2 linked regions of the Saccharomyces cerevisiae S288C genome follow. The gene in region 1 interacts genetically with each later gene. Each region holds a gene or a part of one and is shown in the gene's direction. Other genes may lie near its edges. The genes, in order: CUS2 and UGA3.

Region 1 (3,205 bases):
CATTGCACTAGAATTCATTGATTCGGCTAGGAATAAAGATGATGTTATAGCACAAAATCTAATCGAATCCAAATATTTTTACGATATTCCATCATTAGAGTCAAAATTAAGTTCTTACATTTCCTCAAATACTGATTCATTTGCAACTGCATTTGATGTGAATCAAGTTCGTAAGTTTACTGAGGATGAAATGAAGGCAATAAATCTGAAGAGAAAGCAAGAACAAATTTTCAATCAAAAGTCTGAAACCACTTTGGATACTACACCAGAGGCAGAGAGTGTTCCAGAAAAAAGAGCTGACGCTAATTCATTTGCTGGTCCAAACTTGGACGACCACCAAGAAGATCTACTAGCTACTAAGTACGCTGACGAATTGCTATCCATTGAACAAATTAAACCATTTGGTCAATTAGTAAATAGTTCTAGGGCTATCTCATTAACTGAGCCAGAAGCAGAATTCGTTGTACGTGGTGTCAAACATCTCTTCAAAGACAATGTTGTTTTACAATTTAATATTACGAATACTCTGACGGATATTGCCCTAGACAATGTTTCTGTAGTCTGTACCCCTGAAATTTCTGATGAAGCTGAATTAGAAGAGCTATTCACCCTACAAGTGGACAGATTATTACCATCCGAGGAAGCAGCTTGTTACGTTGCATTCAAAAAACTTGATGAAATTGTAATGGAAGGTTTCTTGAACAACTTAACATTCACTACAAAAGAAATAAACCCTGACACTAATGAGCCATTTGATGGTGATGAAGGTTTCCAAGATGAATATGAAATTGACTCGATTTTCTTGAATGCTGGTGATTATGTTAAGAGTTCTTTCACTGGTAACTTCTCCGCTACATTTGATGAGTTGCCATGCGAAGAAGTTGCTGTTTTCAACATTCAAGAAGATTTATCCATACAAGAAGTAGTAGATAAGATTATTTTGAACAGTAGCTGCTTACCGGTGGAAAGTACCCAATTTGCTCCAAGTGATTCAAACTCCCACACCTTGAAATTATTTGGTAAGAGTGCTTTAACTGGATCTAAAGTAGCCCTACAGATTAAGATGATCAAGAGTTCGAAAGGTCTTGCTTTGAAAGTTCATGGTAAAGGTGAAGACAGCTTATTATGCTCTGATCTGGTGAATGGTCTAATGCAGTAAGCTGTGAAATTTTATTTCAGTTAATCCCTTCTTTTGTTATCAATAGTATTAAAAGAAATGCGTCAGCTTTAGCAAGCGTGCATGCAAATAAGGGAATGAACAGCAAGAACAATAATAAACCAAAAAAATCACGGATAGAATATGACGGATCATCACCACACGAAGAATAAATTATGTAATCTTTGTATAAACAAAATTTTTAAAGAAAAATACTATAATAGTTTGACAAGAGAAAACGAAATGGAAGAAACAGGACAACAGGGCAGAAAAAAGTTGACATTATGCAATTGATGAAAGAAGAAGAAGAAAAAAAACAAAAAAAAAGCACTAGTCTGACCAGGCATATTGTAAAAGGCTGCAGACCCTTGAACGCACTACACTTTTCACTGTATTCCGTTACCAACATTACTGTTTGACAGCGATGGATGCTGATGAATTGGAATTGAAAGGTCATTTGAAAAAATTGAAAAAAGAAGAATTGCTTAGAAGGAAACAGTTAAAAGAGAGTAATCTTCAGAAAAGAGAGCTTGAATATAATAATGCCTCAAAAAATACTTCAATATATATTTCTGGTCTTCCCACAGACAAAACAACGAAAGAAGGACTCACTGAGCAGTTTTGCAAGTATGGAATGATAAGAACCAATCGAGATGGGGAACCCCTTTGCAAGCTATATGTGAATGATAAAGGCGCTTTCAAAGGGGATGCCTTGATCACTTATTCCAAGGAAGAAAGTGTTACATTAGCAATCGAAATGATGAACGAGTCGATCTTCCTGGGAAAACAGATCAGGGTCGAAAGAGCCCAATTTCAAAACAAGGAAGGTGACAATATGCACGGGAAAGAAAATGATTTAAAGGAGTTCAACGGACCTGAGCCTCCAATAAAGAGGCTAAAAAAAGCGAAGTCTGAAGGGGAGGGGGAAGTAATAGATTACAATGACGATGAAAGCCTAGCAAAAGCTGATCGAACGGTGATATTTGCCAACGTATTCAATATTTACAAATCATACACAAATGATGATATAAATGATATTCAGGAAGATCTTTTGGAAGGCTGTGAAGAGATAGGTCAAGTAGACAGTATATCTGTATCTCCCAATAAGGGGGAAGCGACGGTCGTCTTTAAGAACAATAAAGTTGCATTGCAATGTTGCAAAATCATGACCGGACGTTATTTTGATGGGCAAAAGTTGCTTGCTTTCATTTCTGGAGATGAGAACACTTCAAGCACAAGTGACAAGAATGAGGACAGCGAAGTGGAAGATGACCTTATATAGAACTGCAGTAAAAAAATGTATTACCCCCATATCTTTGGTACTTAAGTAAAATAAGTGAACACAATGTAATAAACAGAATGGATTAGGGCTTTATGACTTCCCAGTACAAAATAAATGTCGATATAATACTTGAAAATGCAAGCAATGCCATCAAAAAATTTGAGCGGTACGAGAATCGAACCCGTGTCCCCACCTTGGAAGGGTGGGATGATAACCACTACACTAACCGCCCATGTGTTGGATGGTGTAACTGTAATGACGAGGTAATAAGTGATGGCGACTATATCACCACCGAAACACAGCGATTACTTAAAAGGGTAATCACTACTGCGATTCTAATTGTTGGAATAAACCAAACCTCTTCCGATAATGTTGGAACGAGAGTAATTAATAGTGACATGTGTTGCTATGGTAACAATCTAATGCTTACATCGTATATTAATGTACACCTCGTATACGTTTAAGTGTGATTGCACCTATTGCAGAAGGAATGTTAAACGAGAAGCTCAGACAATACTGAAGCTGTGTTTGAGAAATGGGTGAATGTTGAGATAATTGTTGGGATTCCATTGTTGATAAAGGCTATAATATTAGGTATACAGAATATACTAGAAGTTCTCCTCGAGGATATAGGAATCCTCAAAATGGAATCTATATTTCTACATACTAATATTACGATTATTCCTCATTCCGTTTTATATGTTTCATTATCCTATTACATTATCAATCCTTGCACTTCAGCTTCCTCTAACCTCGATGACAGCTTC
Region 2 (4,342 bases), on another chromosome or scaffold:
TAATAACGACAAGGTCTTAAACCATTTCTATCCAATATAGCACCACAGTAACGTCCATCAGTGAAAGTTAACAAAGCTGGACCATCCCAAGGTTCCATCAGACATGCAGCCCAGTCGTACCATGCTTTTAGGTCAGAATCCATATCCTTATGATACGCTTCAGGAACCATCATCATAACAGCTTCAGGTAGAGATAATGTGCCATTAATAGTCAATAGTTCTAAAACGTTATCCAATGCAGCTGAATCAGAACCACCTTCTTCGATAATTGGGTATAGTTTGTCTAACTCATCTTTGAAAGTTGCTGAATTCATCACACCTTCTCTGGAGCGCATCCAATTCTTGTTACCTCTTAAGGTGTTAATTTCACCATTATGAGCTAGCCAACGTAAAGGTTGAGCTCTATCCCAAGAGGGGAAAGTATTAGTGGAAAATCTTGAATGGACCAACGCCATGTGGGATTTGAAATGCGCATTAGTCAAGTCGGGATAGTAGTTATACACTTGAGCTGGCGTCAATTGACCCTTGTAAACAATGGTGGTATTGTTTAGGGAACAAACATAGAACCAGTTTTCCAGTCCTATTTGAAGAGAGGCCTCCTTCCTTAAAAGATACAATTGAGTTCTAAATTTAGTTTCATTAAACTCCGGTTGTTTTTCATCATACAATGGAACCAATAATGGCTGTAGAATAGTAGGTTCACGAGATAATGCAACGTCTCCTAAAATAGTAGAATCTACGGGGACGTTTCTCCAACCTAATACGGATAAGTTGAAGGATGCAGCTAAATCCTCGAAAATCTTCTGACACTTAATTAAATTTTTCTTGTTATTTTTTTCGTTCTTCTTGAAGAAGACGTTACCTACGGCGTATTTGCCCATCTCAGGTATGTCTAGATCAAGATCTAACTTGAATTCTCTTTTCATAAATTCGTGAGGAATACCTAGCAGAATACCGGCACCGTCACCGTTCCCATCAGATGAGACGGCACCACGATGTGTCATATTCACTAAAAGATATCTAGCGTCAGTAACAATCTTGTGAGACTGTTCACCATGCTTATTTGCTACGAAACCGACACCACAAGCGTCATGTTCATAATCAGGGTCGTAAAGTCCTCGTTTGTCCGGAATCACATTTGCCCAAGATTTATGAAGATGGTGTTCATCGTTATAGTTTTGAATTGTCCCACCTTCGTAAGCTTCTTCCAATGGATCGAAATTGTCTGATTTCAACACTGGCATGCTTTCTTTTCTAATTCTTTTTCTAGTTCTTCAAAATAAATAAATGGCAAATAGATTAAGAAAAAAGAGAGAGTAGAAAGACAAAAATAAATAAAAAAAAACTGAAGCAGAAAAATAAATAAATAAGTTAAACGTTAATCACTACCTCAATGAGCTAAAAGAAGGGGAAGAAAGAGCAACTGAGAGTATCCGTCTGCGTAGTATAGGACTGAGATAGCAATTTCCTATCTTCCTATGATGTGGAGACGATTAGTTTGGTGTGTTATCAAGTAAGATATAAGAATTGATTAATTTGGTAAGAAATGAAACAATAGGACGAAAAATACAATAAGATAAGGAAGACCATCAGAACTTATGAATGACTAAGAAAAGCAGTTTATATTTTTTTTTTGGGCAATTTATTGCTTCTTTTTTTTACGTTTTGCGGGCATCACGTTCGTCGTGACATATGACTTGAAAAATGTGCAAAAGCTTATCGGAGCCAATCGGATTGACGCATTAAAACCGAAGTGTATTAGGACCAAATTTGCGCTGTATAGGGTTGAACGGTAGGGCTACCAGGGTCTGAGTCATCAAAGAAAAAGAAATTACAATAAGAGTCTTACTTAAGATGATATAGAATTGTTGTTATTGTTCATGTATGGATGCCAAGAAAACAAAGTTTTTTAAAGTGAGGTATGAATTATGGCGTGGAGAAGCTGAAATTGAAATATTCGAAGCATGGGTGTATTACTTGCAAGATCAGAAAGAAGAGATGCTCTGAAGATAAACCTGTGTGCCGGGACTGTCGTCGATTAAGTTTTCCCTGTATCTATATATCAGAATCTGTTGATAAGCAGTCTTTGAAAAAAATAAAGGCAGATATACAGCACCAGTTGATCAGCAAGAAAAGAAAGCATGCTCCTGACAGTGCTCAGAAAGCGGCCGTGGCCACCCGTACTCGACGGGTCGGTAGCGACGAACAGGATAACCAGGTATATTTGTCAAAACCGCTGGAAGATTGCATTTCTCAGAAGCTGGACTCTATGGGATTGCAGCTGTACAACTACTACAGGTCTCACCTTGCAAACATAATTTCCATCGCGCCCATGAACCAGAACTACTATCTGAACATTTTCTTGCCAATGGCCCACGAGAATGATGGTATATTGTTTGCTATTCTTGCTTGGTCAGCTAATCATTTGTCTATATCATCATCAAATGAGCTGCGAAAGGATGAAATATTTGTCAACTTGGCGAACAAGTATACATACATGTCGTTATCGCATCTAAAGACAAACGAGGGCTCAAGTGCCTGTGCTAAACTGGGGTTTCTATATTCACTAGCACAAATCCTAATCTTATGTGGTTCAGAGATATGTCAGGGTGATGTGAAATTTTGGAAGATATTATTGAATATAGGAAAAAATTTGATCGAAAACCATGTGGGCAAGGATGTCTCACGGATACTAACCACTACTACAGAAGAACCCTCCCTAGAGGAGAGGATAATCTTCCCCAATTTCAATTCCGTTGTTAAGTACTGGCTGATTGTGAATTTTATATATCATGATATTTTGAATTTCAATACAACGTCCTTCCCGATCGAACAATACGAGAAATTCTTCCAAAGGGATCAGAACTCTTTACCCAGCTCAGCCAACTTTATTGAGTCAATAGACTCGCCAATTGAGGAAATAGACCCTTTAATTGGCATCAACAAGCCTATTTTACTACTATTGGGACAAGTCACAAATTTGACGAGGTTTTTGCAGACTATGGAACAGGAAGAAATGCTAGAGCATGGCGATAAAATTTTGAGTTTGCAAGTCGAGATTTATAAATTACAACCTTCGCTTATGGCGCTGGAACATTTGGATGATGAAAAGAAATTTTACTATTTAGAACTATTCGAGATAATGAAAATTTCTACCTTAATGTTCTTTCAATTAACTTTATTAAAGATTGACAAAGATTCGCTGGAACTACAGATACTGAGAAACAAATTGGACTCGAAGCTAGACAAGGTCATCGGAACTTTTTTGGAAGGATCGTTATGCTTCCCACTTTTCATTTACGGTGTATGCATTCAGGTAGAAGATATGGAGAAAAAAATAGATTTGGAAGCCAAATTTGACGACATTTTAAAACGATATAAATGTTACAATTTCCAAAATGCTAGATTATTGATACGGAAAATTTGGCAAAACGAGGCTGATGGCATCAGTGAGCATGACCTGGTCCACATGATTGACGAATTAGATTACAATATTAATTTTGCCTGAGCAGCATATATTTTCTTTCCCCGCCCCCTGGGTGTCTTAAATTATTGTTTCACCACACAAACATATATATGTTCTTTTTTTTTTTTGTAGGACGTACGGATTCAAAAACAATTTATACCTATACAATGTAGAAATGCTAACGTTGAGACATAGAAGTAATTATTTAATTAACCATTTTAGGTGATTATTTTCAGGGGTGTCCGAGTCCACCTCTACAACATCCACCTGCCCGGTTTGATACCTGTAATCGCCTGTCTTGGAGTCCTCCACAAAGCTTATGCTTCTCTCAGATTTCCTGCGTGGCCTATCCATTATGGCTGCTCCTGCATACGACGTGCCAGTGCCGCCAATCATATCTATATCATGATTGCTTTCCCCGTCGCTTGTACTATCTTCATTCGAGTGGACGTCATGAGCCCATACAGATTTATACCGATTTGCTCTCGGAAATTCATGGCCATCTAGCACTTGTATTCTTTGGTAGTGATCACTATCATTATCCTCGTCACTCTCGTCCCTTTCACAAACGGGGCTTTCCCTTCTCTGCTTTGCAGTCCTTGTTAATTTAGTCTTAGACTTCATTTTAGCTCTTTTATTAGATTTTGTCTTTAATTTGCCCTTGATCTTCAAAATTAACTCATCAAAGTTGTCCTCGTGTGCATCATATACCACCTTATATGATTGTTGGTATTGTGTGGCGAATAAGTCCTGGTTCCAGGCAAAACCTTGACTTTGAGATACAGATATTTTAAAATTTGGCCTTATTTCTGCACTATATGTAAATACCGAACTGGTATTTGAGTATACAATAAGTTTCTCCTTATCCTCCATGAC

The links.
Region 2: mutations in CUS2 (region 1) and UGA3 together harm fitness more than expected from each alone (negative genetic interaction), as found in Saccharomyces cerevisiae (one large-scale study listed by BioGRID).

The regions. Positions count from the first base shown.
Region 1 is NC_001146.8:93,643-96,847, forward strand, and holds CUS2 (U2 snRNP complex subunit CUS2), read left to right. Parts: upstream 1-1,580; coding exon 1,581-2,438; downstream 2,439-3,205. Other genes in the region: SEC21 (coatomer subunit gamma), read left to right, coding at 1-1,159. UniProt on the Saccharomyces cerevisiae protein: U2 snRNP protein which helps to refold U2 into a structure favorable for its binding to SF3b and SF3a prior to spliceosome assembly. Mediates functional interactions between U2 RNA and PRP5.
Region 2 is NC_001136.10:154,397-158,738, forward strand, and holds UGA3 (Uga3p), read left to right. Parts: upstream 1-1,921; coding exon 1,922-3,508; downstream 3,509-4,342. Other genes in the region: GLT1 (glutamate synthase (NADH)), read right to left, coding at 1-1,244; UGX2 (Ugx2p), read right to left, coding at 3,668-4,339. UniProt on the Saccharomyces cerevisiae protein: GABA-dependent positive regulation of genes required for catabolism of GABA (UGA4, UGA1, and UGA2).